Linked DNA regions of Drosophila melanogaster. The protein of the gene in region 1 interacts with the protein of each later gene in a pairwise test. Each region holds a gene or a part of one and is shown in the gene's direction. Other genes may lie near its edges. The genes, in order: CG8460, msi and CG16972.

What was found.
Region 2: the proteins of CG8460 (region 1) and msi interact in a two-hybrid assay, tested with the Drosophila melanogaster proteins (one large-scale study listed by BioGRID).
Region 3: the proteins of CG8460 (region 1) and CG16972 interact in a two-hybrid assay, tested with the Drosophila melanogaster proteins (one large-scale study listed by BioGRID).

What each region holds. Positions count from the first base shown.
Region 1 is NT_033779.5:8,195,285-8,199,446, forward strand, and holds CG8460 (uncharacterized protein), read left to right. Parts: upstream 1-1,908; 5' UTR 1,909-2,008; coding exon 2,009-2,281; intron 2,282-2,347; coding exon 2,348-2,537; intron 2,538-2,594; coding exon 2,595-2,798; intron 2,799-2,864; coding exon 2,865-3,264; intron 3,265-3,328; coding exon 3,329-3,470; 3' UTR 3,471-3,529; downstream 3,530-4,162. Other genes in the region: CG8475 (uncharacterized protein), read right to left, coding at 1-285, 345-692, 753-1,105, 1,300-1,451, 1,512-1,531; PGAP5 (Post-GPI attachment to proteins 5), read left to right, coding at 3,759-4,162.
Region 2 is NT_033777.3:25,514,525-25,519,164, forward strand, and holds the start of msi (musashi), read left to right. Parts: upstream 1-1,593; 5' UTR 1,594-1,825; intron 1,826-3,798; exon of another isoform or gene 3,799-3,948; intron 3,949-4,640.
Region 3 is NT_033779.5:13,197,194-13,204,948, reverse strand, and holds the start of CG16972 (uncharacterized protein), read left to right. Parts: upstream 1-1,653; 5' UTR 1,654-1,948; coding exon 1,949-2,405; intron 2,406-2,540; coding exon 2,541-4,238; intron 4,239-4,294; coding exon 4,295-6,346; intron 6,347-6,405; coding exon 6,406-6,604; intron 6,605-6,666; coding exon 6,667-7,393; 3' UTR 7,394-7,755. Other genes in the region: Pect (phosphoethanolamine cytidylyltransferase), read right to left, coding at 677-759.

The sequences.
Region 1 (4,162 bases):
AATTTGTTCATTGTTATTCTTGAACACGCCATCGATAATCATGGCTATGAAAAAGAGCGGCCATTCACATTCCAGGCCTTCGAATTCCTTTAGCTCGCCAGAGTGATAATAGCGTCGCGATTTGTCCTCGTTTTTGCTGAGGAATCCATCACGGGTGAAGCGCTTAAAGCCCATTTTGCAGCGCAAACGATTTACAACATTTTGTTTGGTCTGCTCCACCAGGCGATCTTCATGCGAGGCAAAGGCTGGGAAAGAAAGGGTGAGAAGCAGTGAAGCATCAACTCCCTAAAAGTTGAAACTTTAATTAAATGATGCAAACTACAAGTAAAATATTTTAGCACAACCTTTGAGCTTGATTCCCTGGGCAGCATGGTTTCGAAAATACTGCGATTCCGGTTGTGGGCATCAATGTCCACATAGACAACGCTCCATGAAGCTCCTTTCTCGCCGAACAGATTGCACCCGTTAATGGCCTCCAAGGCGGACTTAGCCATGCCAATGGAGGAGGCATGGATCTCCGGGGTGCCATTGTTATATTTAGAGCCCCGCTCCCACATGCCAAAGTCGGGCGTACGATAGGCGCGCTCCACATAGTACACTAGATTCTGGACAAAGGCCACCTCGTCGTGGGTGTAAATGATCTGCAGGCCAGAGGTTATCATCTGGACGAGGAACAACAGATAGAGAGAAACCTAGGAGGAGAAGTTCAATGCATTTTAAAACTCTTCGATAAGAAATCCCCTAGAACTCACGCAATCTATCTGTAGGTGATTGTAAAACTCATCCGGATATATCTTCTCTCCGGTGTGCAGCTGGAATTTGCTATGCAGTGCGTGCTGATTGGACTGGCGCTGCTTAAAGAGCTCCACCCGCGATGCCTGCTTGACCCAGCACTCAAGAATGCCTCGCATGCACTTCACAGTGCTCTGGCCCAGTTCGTAGGACTTTCCGCGGTCATCGTCGATCCGTCTGTACGCCTGGTACAAGCTCCACACGGCGGATGCGCAATACACACTGTCCCGCACCGATCCCACCACCTGGTCGGTGCTCATCACCGGAAACAAACCGGTGATGGGACTCTGGTATCGCAGCAGTTGACGCTTGACTGAGGGAAGAGAAAGTGTTAGATTCACCCGGTTATCGCGTCTTAATTGGCTATGCAAATAAACAAACGATTCTGTTTACAATCAAGTGTGGGGCGTCGACATTTCGCGATGTGCGATGCTTATTAATAGACGCCGTCAATTGGTGCTCAATTGGCCGCCCCACAGACGACTCCAAGGTTATATAAATCCTCACCAATGCCATAGTAGATGTCCAGCTGCTTCACCGTGTCCTCGTAGTTGGACGTTTTCAGGAACTGGTCCAGATTGATCTCCTCCAAGCTGTTGTGGCGACCACTGTCCGGAGCACCCGAACTGCCGCCTGGAGTTGTGACCGAGAGACCGAGACTGGAAGTGGAAATATCCTCGCCATTAATATGGGATTATTTTCGATGTTTTCATACTTACGATTTCGGCACATCGCGCATTGTTTCTTCAGCAATTGCAAATTATATTGCAATTGCGCTTAAGAAAATGTATCAAAGTCAAAAAAAAGTCAAACGCTTCTAACAGCTGAGCAGCTTTTCATTGCGATCTGGCAATGCTCTAAGCTAAAATCGATTGTTGAAGACCAATCGTTAAAGGCAGAGCGGGTGATTTAAATCGGATGCGCAATTTAAGAAACATATTAAGTTCTCGTTATTGTTTGAAGTTGAAATAATTCGGTGATATAATTTTAAGCTTATAAATAATAAAATAAAATATATCAAATATAATGTTAAGTCAAGTCCAAGTAATAATTTCTGAAGCACACTGCTATTTACCAATTTAGGGTGACCATTTAGAGTGTCTGATGCCGTTTGCCGTTTAGTGTACGCTATGGTCACTTTGCTGCCGGCTTTTTTTTTGTATGCGATTTGTTTTTGTGCGATTTATGCTGTGGTCCTGATTGTCCTTCTGTCGAAATGCGTGCGCCTGATGCGCTCCTGCTCCGCGTCGCTCTCCTGCTTCTACTGCTGACCACCGTCCGCGGAACCCTCGCCCCGGACAGCCACAAATCGAAGAGCAAGACCAAGGAGAGTGCTCTGCGTGGCGGTCCGCAAGACCAAGATGTTTTCGATCTGGGCTTGGTTAGTCCCGAGCCCCTGGCCAAGGATATCGTGAGCAATCATCGCGGGTACTTCAAGGAGACGGGATTGCGACGCTTCAATGGCACCACCTTGGGCTATGTGACTCCAGTAAGCAGAGGACGTACTCCCACATTTTGTGCATGTGTATTAATCTATTGTTTGCTTTGCTTGTAGTGGAACTCGCATGGCTATGATGTGGCTAAGATATTTGCCAAGAAGTTCGACATTATCTCGCCGGTTTGGCTGCAGATTGTTAAGCAGGGAGATCGTTATGCCGTAGCCGGAACCCATGACATCGATGCGGGTTGGCTAACCGATGTCCGGAGAAAGGGTAAACAGGTGCACAATCAGCGAACGGTTAAAGGTATGAGAAAATGATACCCGCTGGCGTTAGTCTAAACTCACTTTCCTTGGATTTCAGTGTTTCCCCGTTTTATATTCGATCACTTCACTGATCGGGACATTAAGCTCTTGCTTAGCGACGCCCAGGAGAGGACGAAAGTCAACGACGTGCTGATCAAGTGCTGCAAGGATAATGGCTTCGATGGACTCGTCCTGGAGGTGTGGTCCCAGCTAGCTGGACGCATAGATGACAAAATTCTGTACACACTGGTTTTGCAAATGGGTGAGCTTAATGCGTTGTAACCCTTTGTTTGTTATTAATAATTTAAATTTCTTTTACGTCACTTAGCCAAAGAACTACAAAAGCAACAGCTGCGACTCATTTTGGTCATTCCTCCATTCCGCAAGGAAACAGGCCACCTTTTTGGAGAAAAGCACATGGACAAGCTGTTCAAGCACATATACGCCTTCTCTCTGATGACTTACGACTTCTCCAGCGTGCAGCGTCCCGGAGCAAATGCACCATTATATTTCGTCCGTAAGGCTGTGGAGACAATAGCTCCAGAAGGTTGCGCTGATATGACGGCTAAGAGGGCTAAAATTCTGTTGGGACTGAATATGTACGGGAATGATTACACGCCCGATGGAGGTGGACCCATCACCTTCTCCCAGTACTTGGATCTAGTCAGGCATGTGAAGAAGCACCTAACTTACGATGAGCGGGATGTGGAAAATTTCTTTGAAATCAAGTGAGTTTTCTACTGCAGCGTATGCAGAGTGTAAGGCGAAGATGATGAATATCATTACTTTCAGAAACGATGACGGTCGCCACATTGTCTTTTATCCCACTCTCTATTCCATAAACGAGCGAATAAAGCTCGCCCAGGAACTGGGCACTGGCATTTCAATCTGGGAACTTGGCCAAGGCCTAAACTATTTTTACGATCTCTTCTAGTTAGCCTGTAAGCAGCATGCAATGCACAATACCTATTCCAAATAAAGGAAATTATATATAAGCCATAATGCTTCATAATTTTTCCAATTTACAATTTTAGTAACCAACTTTGAAATGAGGCGCCAATTTGTTAGTCAACCGACAGCCGCTTGACAGCACTGTTTAATTTATCGAATATTTTAAATTTATATCGGGCCGTTTACTCGTTTAAAACGATACTATCGCTGATGGTTTTTCAGCTCTAGAATAAATTTGTTATTATTTTTTTAGCCGGTGAGAAATCCTGAAATGCGCTTTCTTTATGCCTGCTTTGTGATCGTGCTGTGCGCCCTGATCTTCTGCGAATATGTGGCGGACTTTGTGGTGCTGCAAAAGTGCAAGTGGCCGGAGATAAAGCGAAAGAAGTATGTGGACGATCCGCTTAGGGCAATGATTCTAGCGGATCCGCATCTGCTGGGACCGCATCGTGGTCACTGGCTGGACAAGCTCTACCGGGAGTGGCACATGACGCGGGCCTTTCAGGCGGCATCACGTCTGTTCCAGCCCGACGTGGTCTTCGTCTTGGGCGATTTGTTCGACGAGGGCGACATGGTCAGCGACAAGCAGTTCCAGGAATATGTGTGGCGCTACCTGAAGATGTTCCACCTACCACCGGGAATTCCGCTCATCAGTGTCGCGGGAAATCATGACGT
Region 2 (4,640 bases), on another chromosome or scaffold:
TTTTAATTCTAAATTCCAATAACTTATTCTAAAATCTTTTATAATGAATTAAGAGGTATCTCTTAGTCCAGAAGACGTATGACGACTTTTTCTAAGAACATTTTCTTTTTATTCGTTTCAGTCACTTCTCTCGCCATTTCCGAACTAATCGAAGACGCTTTCTGGCAGAATTTATTGCTGCTTCGGCGGGGGCGTGGCAGGCGGTGGGCGGTTAAGATGTAGACGAAATGGAGGCGTGGCAGGGGCAAAAACTGCTCCTTTGACCTGTCTGCCTCAGTCACTGTTGTTGCTGTTGCTATTGTTATATATTTCTCCTTCTTTATCGCCCGAAGCTCTGCAAACAAGTTTCTTGTGTCCCGACAAAAAAGGAACCAACATGAAAAAATGGACCAAACAAAATAAGGGAAAATATATTACAGAAAAAAACTCTTTTTCGCCGTCAGCTGCTCGATTGCAGAAAACTCGTTGCGCTTGTTGCGCGTTTTGTTGTGAATTATAAAGAAAATAAAAAAAGGAGCAAATTTCATGAAATCTTGCTTAGGAATGGGTAGGCCTTTGATGTTTTTAGGCCGTCTAATAAGCCGCTGAAATTATTGTTTTAGATTTTTTTCTTCTGATTTGGGAGCGCCCGTCTGCGATTTTGCAAAAAATTTGTGTAAATTTTGAATTTTGCGGGGGCGTGCCGACATTTGGTAATTGCGGTGGGTGCAACAGGCGACAAAAACGCTATAAAATAAGCTATAAACTGGGATTAAGTCGTTGTTTAACAATCATATAAAAATGGTAAAGGTAAAATAATAATAAAGTGTGTGTTAAATAAAAATTACAATATTACAAGCATTTCCTTCAAATTAATTAAATTAAATTTTTTATTGCACTTAAGCAACAATTTTAAAGTACCGAAAAATACCAAGTAAATACCAAATGATGCTCATTTTCATTTCCCCACTGAAAAAGCCACAGCAACAACACTACGTCGCAGCATACGGGACCGGAAGTTAGAGAGCGCTCGAGTGCGAACGGGACAACAGTATGAGTCCCAAAAGTTGTTGCTGTCTCCCCAAATGGCGTTTTTTGAGCGACTTCGCCGCAAACAACAACGCGCTCTCAGTTTATGGGAGAGAGAGTTTGCTTGTTTTTGTTCCTTCGCTGGTGGTGTGGTGGGGGCGAGTGAACCGCTTATGTTGTGGGTGGTTGTTGCCATCGCATCGCAAGAGAGAGAACGATTCCGCTCTCCTTTTGGATTACCCTGTACTTCAGAAATTCCCAGAGTATATTGCGTTTGCAGAGTATTATTTTAAAATATATTTTATATTATATCTATTTTTTAAATAAAATTCCTAAAGTAATTTTTTAAATTATATTTATCATTGGGAAGTTAAGCTTAGTGTATCTAAAACTTATTGTATCTAAAAACCGGGTATCTGCAAGTTGGAAAACTCGACCACTTGTTTTATTTTATTATGCTTGCCGCAAACGACAAACAACCGAGAGAGATAGATCGACAAAGAGAGGAAGAGGTATAAAAAGCGAGAGGCGGTGAGAGAACTTTTCCGCGGGGGCCGCTTGTACTTGTATCTGTATCTTTCGGACTCAGTTTGCCTGCGACCGTTACAACAGCCAGTTGATTCGAAGCGGAGCGATTCGTGGATTCGTTTTCATCGTGTCGTCGTCGTTTTGTCGTTGATTTCCGTTTGTGCATGCAGATAAAGCCAGGTCTTAACTTGATTCTGGACTGGGCCGAAAATCGAAATCGAAACCGAAGTGGGCTAATGGAAAATAAACAAACAAACAAAGCTTGAATTTTGTTTGCCGCGCATTTAAAGTAATTCCTATTTGTCGCCCCTAGAAAATACAATAATAAGAAAATCTGTTTCTGACATGTTGCATGACTGAATTAAATTACGTGTTAAATTGTTAAGCTAAATGAACAAACCGCATCCATAAAACGGATGCCAGTGCATGCAAATTAATTAAAAATACGATTCGAAATCTCTCTACACATGCATGCACAACCCATCAAGCTTTATTCAAATCAATGACTTGAGCGGCTAAATAAAATATGTATTTCATGGCTATTAAGATTATAAACAAAATTTATCATTAAATCTAAAATCAACTTTCATGGTTTATTAACTAATGATATGTTTAACTAATGAATGCCAAAACATAAAGCAATTTAATTCGCTATGACTAAGAGACCGATAATCCATACAAAAGACGAGTTCAAGATATGTGTGTATAAATAATATAAAACAATGAACTCTCAGCTCGAGATAAAAAGCCCAGTAATTTGACTAAATAAAACATGTGTAATTAAATAAGTGCTTTACTAATAAATTGATACAAAATTCAATTCAAATGGATTAAATTTATATCAAATTTCGATTCGAGATTGGTGAACATTTGTGCACTGGAGAAAACCATCAATTTTTAAAACAGAAAAATCCATTATCAAACTACAAGCTGTGGTTAATGTTTACTGTGGTTGTTGTCGGTGACTAGCTCAGTTTTATCAACAACAACAATTTTGCGTTTCAGTTTTGTGTATTTCTCAACGAGTTGTGTACGATAAGAACTGAAAGGAGACCTAAGATTTGAAGAAAATCAGAAATGGCTCTAGGGAACTAACGATAATGAAATATTTTACTACAATTTAACAAATTGTCGTTATTTAAAAGAAATAAACACGCATAAGCCCGTGTACAGTTCAAAATCCCATGGAATATGTGACAATTAAATTAATTAAGCTTAAACAACAGATACGATAACTGAACACTTTCCAACCGAAATAAATTTGATTTGTAAATTTCACATAAATCAAAGCGAAATAGCTGGCAATCCTTCCCTTCAACTGAATTAAACAATTACTCTTTGTTTCTCAGTTTTAAGCATTCAAAATCAACAAAATGCGTCAGCTGCGAGCTGAGCTTTAAAAGAAATACGAGCTGAGCAAACAATATAAGATAAACACAGAAAGTCAAGTACAGTCAGTGCTCCAATTTTGTAACCCACAAATATATTTTAGGATTTTCCCAATAAAGTAAAGTGCAAATTGTTTAAAACGACAGCTCAAAAATAAGTCATGGTTTTTTTTTCGAAATATAAATAAAATAGTTTCTGTTCTTTACACTTTAATGACAGTAAGTTAGAGCCTATAAATAACAATTACTTGGAAATACTGAATTTAGTTGCATACATGCTACAAAGTAAGCTCTTAATTGTTTTTTTTTTATCATATTTTTCGACGTTTATAAGAATACGTATTTTATGAAAATCTGCAAAGTTGCTTAAAAAACCTTCAACATTTCCATGTTTGAAGGATAGATAATGGAGTTATCGTTGAGGGTGTTCCACTATTCCAGAGCTCACTTTAAATTGGGGGGAGAACAAAGCGGGCTATAAAGACGCTCGTTCGGCGACTCAGTGTGCTGGCTATATGCGACTATATGGCTATATTGTAGGCCTATTGTCTGGGGAAACTGCATGGAACTGCATATCGGAAATGATTATGGGGGGAGTACCAGCTTGATGACGGTAGAGGCGCGATAAAAGACACACAAAAGGGGGGAGAAAAAAAAAGGTTGGTACGTCATTAACTGACTCAGCCGCATGTTGCATCCAAGCTTTTTTTGTTGCTCCTTTTTCTGCTCAGTATTCACGTCCTGCAGAGAGAGTCCCAAAATCCAGAGAGAGAGCGTGGAGAGCGAGCGGAGAGGGAGAGCGGCAGAGCTTCAGCGCAGCACGGCGAAATTCGCTGAGCTCGCCTTAAACAGTTCGCAGCCGCTCCTTCACCGTTAGTTAAAAAAAATTCCTTGCCCGAAGCGGAAGGATTGTCGAATTTCGTGGATTTTTGCGAATATTTCCCGTGTAATTTTCGTCACGCGTCGTTTATTTGCACCAGCGAGTGTGTGTGAGTGTGTGTATAACGTACTGGTGTGTGTGCGTGTAAGTGACTCAACTCGAAGACATTTTTGTTTCTTTTGTCGAGGGACGCTTCTTTGGTTTTTTATTTCTCTTTCACATATTCGCATATTCTTTTGCGGCGAATTCAATGACGTCGCAGAAATTTGTTTTTATGCCATGAATTTATGTTTCTGTATGCGTGTGCATGTGTTTTTGTTCAAGCAAATCGATTAAATTTATGAAAAATTAATACGAAAACCGGCAGCGAACTATACAAAAACTATGCAAGCGATCCAAGACTCAAATGTTTTTAATTAAAAGCCGTGTGTGAAATATTATCAAACCGCAACGGCAAAAACAACAATATTTTATCACCATTTTGAGAGCGGCACGCACGTGTGTGAGTTCTTGAGTGTTAGTGTGTGTGTGTGTGCAGTGGCGTGTGTGTATGTGTCGAAAAAGCCGGCAATGGCAAAAGAGAATTCAGAATTCAGCATTGAAAGGCGAGAAGCAAAAGGCAAAAGCGAATGCCAAACAGCGAAAGTAAAAGCGTAAAGCCAAAACAAAGAAATGCCAAAGAAAACCCAGAAAGCCAAAAAAAATTGTTAAAATTAATAAACAATAATGCAAATCAATGTTATGGGAAATGGAAAAGCGCTTCAGATACAAATATCAATGAAAACACAAATATTGACAAATACATTTAATGTAAACATTAAAAAGTTGCATGACTA
Region 3 (7,755 bases), 5.0 Mb from region 1:
CTAAAATACATAGATGCATTAGATGAACCGAACACCCGGTTTATCACATATAGCAATTAATTATTGTGCAAACTAATTTGGGATATATGTATTGTTGTTAGCTTAAGCGCCATAAAGAGTGCGAGTATCGCCGGAAAAGGCAAATTAAACATTTTCTCTGAGTAATCTGTTTTAGAATAGCCACTGTAAGCGTACAATTATAAATAGATTGCATAGCGTATAAATATAAATATAATGCCAAATGTCCCGGTCAAGCGTGGAGAATATGGACATTTCGGATCCGAGAGACCTTGAACCTGAATTATGTAGACATTTCAGCCGGACGACGGCAATGGGTGGATATTTGGAACGGGCAGCGAGACGGCACCGTTTCACAAAGATTTGCTAATCAATTGAGGAACCCTGGACGCTTCTTAGCACGCCTAAAAATGGGGTTTAGTTTATCGTCGACTGATTACGGTTATTGGTATTGGAAACCAAATTGGAATTGAAATAGTAGGGTTCGGTTGGCCGTGGTGTGGCATGGAATCGATGGCACCGACGCGGAATGGTTATGCTTTGACTCACTTTACCGTTAGCGGTGAGTAACGACGTGACGCAATGGGCTGCCCTAAGAACCGTTAGACATTGTGGACCGAATTCCTGGAGGCCCCTAAATGTAATGTAGATGACTCACCATCCATCGCACCAGACGCGCACATCCTTCCGCTGCTTGTCCGAATACCCATTGCAGGCGCTGGTATCGCCATTTGCCTCCATCGTTGACTTATTGAATTTTCACAATTTAATTTAATTTTAATTTAGAATCCGGCTAACGGGCGAACATTAGATTCCGGAGAGTATGTTTCTGTTTTCAGTGCTCGTTTTGAAGGCGGAAACTCGACGACAGCGACGTTCACGCTTCGAGAGCTGTAAGTTATTTGTTCTGAGCTACGACGACGCCCGCTATATATCAATTCCCATTTCACGACCGAGCTACTCAGTTCAGTTTTCGTTATCGGTTTCGGACTCGGATTCACGTTCAGACTCGGAGCGGAATTGGTCTCAGATTCTCAGACTTGCGTTATCAGCGCGCGGGCGCATGGGAACTTCTTTGGGGCGTAAGTGCGGTGTGTTTAGCTTGGGTTTTTTTTTAGATTCTTTCATTTCTTTTCTCACAATTTCGAGTACCGTGAGAGCAGAGTGGCCGCATCGGTGTTTGTCCAAATATACCATATGCCTGGTGCGATGAATACCAGCTAACGCGGATTTTGTAAACATCAACAGCTGATCGAGATATATTGGGAATAACTTTAAATTGGCAAATTTTATGTTACTAAGCTAGAACTTTTATATTAAGCAAGTACAAATCTGTATTATTATACGTTAAAAGGGTATTAACTCTATTAAATCCTTATGAGTCGATCACCCCAATGAAATGTATAATATTTTAGGATATAACAAAGTGTTTTGTTTATAAATAAATGTAAATATTGTCACAACAATTATTAAAAAAAAAGTGTCATAGAATTAAACAACGAACACTACTAATAACATTCACAATTAAAATTTTTTTTTTCATTTTAAAGGTATATTTTATTGATTGATCCCACTGTAAAAATAATACCGATGGTATTTTAAGAGGCATATTGGCCATGGCGATGTGAGATAATACTACGGTGTTTCCCACGGTCACACAGGATAAAGCAACTTAAAATATTAAGCCTATCAAATAAGAAATATACAACGCACAGCACGCAGATATACGAAAAATAACAATCGAAGGAAACCGACCAAGCCATGATAATGTAATCATGATCGTCCACAGTCAGTTCGGGCATTGTTTTGTAGACAGCATCAAGTATATTTTTTAAATTTCACGTGCTAAATTTACAAGAAATCCTACCACAATTACTAAACGAGTCGACGAGGGCTAGATAATCCCAATCCCATTCCCCGTACCAACGCGATGTCCAGAAGAGAAGCCAGCCTGATGGCCTACGTAGCGGCGGAGGAACACCTACTGAACCGGTACTCGCCGCTGGAAGGCGACGAGATAGATACGGCCAGCGAAGCTCCAGGCGACGCATCGGACGTGGCTGAGGATCGGGAGTATCCCACGGATCTTGTTGCATCTGTCACCAGATCCTCGAGGACGGGAGCAGATCTGGACCCCGCCGTGGACAGCAACCTGCACGTGATCTCCGACGACTCGGACACCCACAGCTTTATCTCGAGTGGCAGCGGCTTCAAGGGCTGGCCGGAGGAGCAGCCGTCTTCCAGTTTCGTCCCTCAGAATGAACCCTTAATATTCGGACTTCGCCGGCAAATGATGATGACCGAAGAGACACACCAAGCCCCAGTATGGGCCACCTGCACACCGGCAAAACGTTCGTACAGCAGCCACGAGGTCATCGAGATCAACGGTTTGTTAATCTGTTCCATTAACTATACAAGGAAATCTCTTCCATTTAATTGATTATGAACATTTATCCCAATTGAAAATATGAAATATCTAATATGGTAAACTCACTCAATCGCATACTTTTCTTGTTTTTTAGACTCACCCGAATCTGTCCAGGATCCGGGCATTGCACTAAGCCCCGGCATGCTGCTGACAAATGGCAATGTTGACCAGTTCGAAATGCTGTCCCACGAGAATGATGAGGCTGAACATGAACTTCAGGTGGCCGAAGAAGGGGAGCAGTGTGTGATCTATGAGGCTGTGGATGGAGAGAACATGGTCGTTTTAGGAGAAGAACACTGCTGTGAGATCATAGTAGCTACCCAGGGAGTGGCATGCGAGCAGGAGTTCGCCAGGGCCATCATGATGGCCGGAAACGGTACCGGTGCATTGCTGGGCTTGCTGTCCGAGGAGAGTGATGCGAATGAGTGTCTCAATGGGACTGCCTACATCGAGGAGGTCGTGGAGGATATGGGTGTGGCCGAGGCACGATTGGCGGCTGGAAACAATGTGTACCTTAGTGATGCAGCGCTAGAACAGCCTTTAGTGCACCAGGATCTGGTCGACGACGAGGCTCCGGAGGAAAACGAAAACGCCACATTCTTAGACGATACACCGATGGAGGAGGAACGCCCAGATATTTGTCAGGTGTATGATCACGAACTGGAGGACCACGACGATGAAGAATGCGAGGACGCAGTCATCCAGGAAGAACCAGCCCAGCCTATCGACATTGTAGCATTCGAGGGACAGGAGCCGCTGCCAAATAATCCGCAAAGAAAGTTGCTTCGCGAACACAGCAGTCCCACGGAATTTCCCGTCAGCTCATCCTCCATGCCCAACGCCAGTGACCACTACGACTATGAGGATGAGTTAACGGGCGGCCGCTCTCCATCCAAAGTGGCTCCACTGAAGCGAAAGTATCCGCCGCTGATGAAGAATACGCTCCATGGAGAGGCTATGGATCGAAGACTGGCAAGCATTTGTCAGGCTCAGCCGCAGATGAGTCCCGCCGAGAAAGTCTCCAACTGGGAAACGGCACCCAGGGAAGAGTGGGCCGATGTCGAGGATGTGGAAGGCTTTGAAGCTGCCTTCAAGCAATATGAGGCTGTTACCGCATCACTCAAACAGCTTAACTTTGCCGAATTCCGTGAAGCACTGGTCCGGAATATGGAGAAGATCAGCCGTGAAATCATGCAAACCTCAGACGAATCCACTCAAGAGCTTGCCAGCTCTCAGTCGGCGGAACGGCCGGTGTATCGTCGCTATTTGCACATTCTGCCCACCGAGGAGACAATTGTGCTAGATGATGATGACGACGATTGCTACGAGGTGGTCGGCATGGAAAAAGCCTCTGTCACCACATTGATACCCGAAGAGGAGCTACAGGATAATCAACAGCCGGAGGAAGAAGAGATAGTGCTGCCAGTTGTTGATGACATAAAGAACACGGATTCACCGAATTTCGAGCAGCGGAACCTTACCAAGGAAACATCTACAGCAGACTTGGAGAGAAGCGCGCTTACTCAAACGGCGGGTTCATCCGCTGCGAATTTAGACGCATCCTTATCCCATGCTCAACCTTGTCCAACTGCTCCGGCAGGACTTACTGATTTTATGCAGGCGAACTTAAGCGACCGTGGGCCATCAGAAGACCAACAACTAACCAAAGCTGTATTAGATGTTATGCGTCAGCAGGTGCAAACAATGCAACAGCAACAGCAGTTTATGGAGCAAAAGATGAACCAACAACCACAGATGTATCACTACGAGGAACTGCCACAGGCTCCCCAACGTAAGACTTTTTATTTGTATTTTATTGCAAATTTAATTGGTTAATTTAAATTACAGAGATGCAAATGGAAGGGAATCAGGGGCCTTACGTTAAGTATCCGAATGAGCAACAGGAATTCTGCAACTATCTGGGTCTCACCGAACTGTCAACAGCAAATGCCGTGGCTACCGCAATGAGGGAACTAGCCAACAGCACTATCCCTCGCCGATCGCTGCGGGTGAGACCACAACAGCAACTGGACAGGATGCGTAGTGATGTGCGTGGCAAGCGGCGCGAAAGGGAGCGAGATAGGCAGCAGGATAAGGACAAGAAGATACCGTTGACCACAAGTAGTGAGCTTAGCACCGATAAAGAAGAACCCTCCCCGCCTCAGACATCAGAATCCGTTTCAAGGATGGCGGGGGATGCGGATGTCCATTTCAACTCTCAAATGCCTGCAGAGCATAAGCGAAAACTGAATCACTTGTACAACTCTTATTTTGCGGAAGAGGAAGAATGCTCTACGAAGAGGTCACCCAAAACCACCGACTTTATAGCCAGTTCCAAGTCCTTAAAGGATGTAGAGAGGCGTCCATCGCTCAAAGGACAGGAGCCGCAACGTCATAGATCCATCATTGATGGCGACGGCTATCAGAAACATCAGATAGACAATGAGTCTGAGAAGGGTCGGGTTCAGTCCGTTGAGGCGGCTTTTACTAAGATCTTCGAGGCTGCCGCACCTGCCCAATCCAAGCTGCTGGAGAGCATGCAGCAACGCTTGCGCCAGGCGCGTGAGACGAAGCCATCAATTTATATTATTAAGGCTACAAGCAATGCCTCGCCCCCGAATCCATCACACAGCAGGCAGGAGTCTCACATCTCACCGGCGCCCTTGAACTTAATCGGCGGCTTTGGTGACGTAAGCGCGCCGCATCCTTCTGTCATTTCCCAGCCAGCGAAGAAAAGTCCTACAATAACCAGTCCAGATAAGGAAACTCCAGCCCCCTTACCAGTTGATACACCCAAAAAATCAAAACATAGGAAAACCCATGGAGCCACCAAACCTGTTGCCGCTACACCACGACGCCGCACTACAATGGGTGCATCCAGTCTCGGGAACGAAGCACGTGCACGCGATTTGGTTACCCGCTCCACCACGCATCTTAATTCGAAGCTACTTCGTAGCCGCAAGGTTAGTCTGCTCAAGAGCTACGCCCTGTCGGACGAAATGGCTCAGGGACGATCGAAACGGATGGCTGGCGGTGCAGCACAAACCACCAAAAAGGCTCCAATGCCCAAGGCAGCACGGACGTCGTTAAAGAAGCCGGCAGATAAAAGTCTTCCTGAGCAACATCGCTTGGAGCAACAGCAATTGGCTCCGCCAAACTCTCCCCGAAAGATGAAAGGTGTCAAGGAGACTGAAACTGACACGACAAGTGCAATGAAATCTAGTCGCCTTACTAAACGGACCAAGCGAGCACGAGCCAAGTCACTGCCTTCGAATATTGAAAGGGTGACTGAGCCTGTGGCAGCCGTTCCTAATGCCAATGTATTGAGGCTCGCTGACCTGGCACCAGAAGTGCCCAACACATTCGCGCCTACACACAGCCATCTGGTCAACTCCACAGCCAAAGAAGCCGCTGACAAGACCTTCGTTCATTCCCCCTCCGTCGCTCAATCGCCTTATGCACAGCCCGTGCTTATTTACCCGCCATCCCCAACAACACCGCCACCGAATACGGAGCCACATCGCCCTCGCCAGCAAGCCGGAAAAGTCAATCCAGCTGACTTAGTCCTGGCCACCCCTCCTGGGGGCCTGCTGCGACTCAGTCAGGGATCCGCGACGCTAGCAAATCCACTTTCTGCCAAGCACGGCCAGGTTCTCTATATGTACTACGAGCTGGAACAGCTCATTGTGCTGCAGGAGAATTGCATTACCTTCTGGAAGTACTCCAAAGTGTTCAACGTGCTGCATCAACCGCGACATAATCCCTCCTTTGATGGCGCCAGAAAATCTCCATCTCCAAAGCTGCCTCAAACACCTTCGCGCGAGCCCAAAGACGTCGAGCAGGAGTTGAAAATGGGCCCGCGATGGGTTTACCTGGGCAGAGTGCGGCGCCTGACTAGCGGTGGGTTATGATCATTTATACACTTTACGAATCTTTCTAGCCTCTTTGATGCATTACAGAGAAAGAGATCTTTACGCCGTTTGGCAGCCGCATTTGCGTGCACAATTCGACGCCGGTGTACCTGGAAATGCGAAGCAGGCCGCTGGACCATCACAAGAGGGAGGTGAAGCTAACCTCGCTACATGTGAATGTGTATTACTTCTGCGAGGAGGAACTACGACCCCGTATGCACTCTGTGCACTTGGATGCTGTCAATTGGTGAGGACTATCACGCAGTATGCATAAATTCAATGACGTAACCTACAACTTTCGTTATTTAGCGAATGGCCGCATGTCATATACACAACTATAGCGGATTCGCGTTACTTCGTTATGGCATGGCAGCAGGAACTGGTGATGGGCAAGTCGCGCTCGGGCATTTGCAAATATTCACTGACGCCCACGCTGGATACGCTGGCCTCCATACGGGAGTTTAAGCAGTTGCGCCACGAGCTGCGTCACATTGAGTGCCTTTCAGAGGATCGCCTTATCGGCTACGGCCAGATGCGCATCACCGTCTGGGATCATCGCAGCGGCGATACTCTGATGAACTACGACTTGGGCCGGCCGCTGGGCCGTTGCCTGGCTGCTACGCACTATCCTAGCCTCGACTTGGACCAAAGCAGCATGCTGGTGCTTTATCAGCTGCTTAAAGAACCAAACAAACCGTCTGAGGTGCATGTGATCGCCTGTGAGCTTTCCCATGCCACGCCCTCGCACCGCCTGCTGCAGGTCCACCGCTTACCATCGCCGCAATTCGACGATGCCACGGAGGGCGTTAACACCGGTGATCATCTGATCATCAAGTCAGCATCGAACGACGAAGCCTGGATAAGTGCCGCCGATCCGAGACAGCTAACCTATTTGGCGCCGCAAATCAATGGAGCTCAGCGTTTTTATGCCCGCCACAAGTCCCAAGTGATCGAGATGTCCCCGCAATCCCTAACTGTAGATAGTATCGCCAATCACATGTTGAAATTGGCTGTCCAGCAGACCCAATCGGCGTAGACCTGTGTCGCGGAACTAGAAATGTGGAGAGTCTCGGCCTTGAACAAAGTTTTTGTTTTTTTTTTTCACACAAACCCATGTTTGAATATCACCCAGAATACCCGATCTATAAATGTGCTTTTGGCTGTCTGCCCAAGTATAGTTCAAATATAGGAAACTATAATAAGTTGCGTGTTAAGCCCTGTAGTCCTAACAATCATTTTAGTCGTAAGTAAGTCGGAGAGTAGTAGCCTTTATTATGCGCTATTTTGAAATAAGTGTTTTTGTTTCTTTCGTTCTTTTTATTTTTTCTAAAAGAAAAACAAAACTAGCTTAAGCTATCGTAGTTTTAGGCATATGAATTCAACTGTTTGATTTGCTAC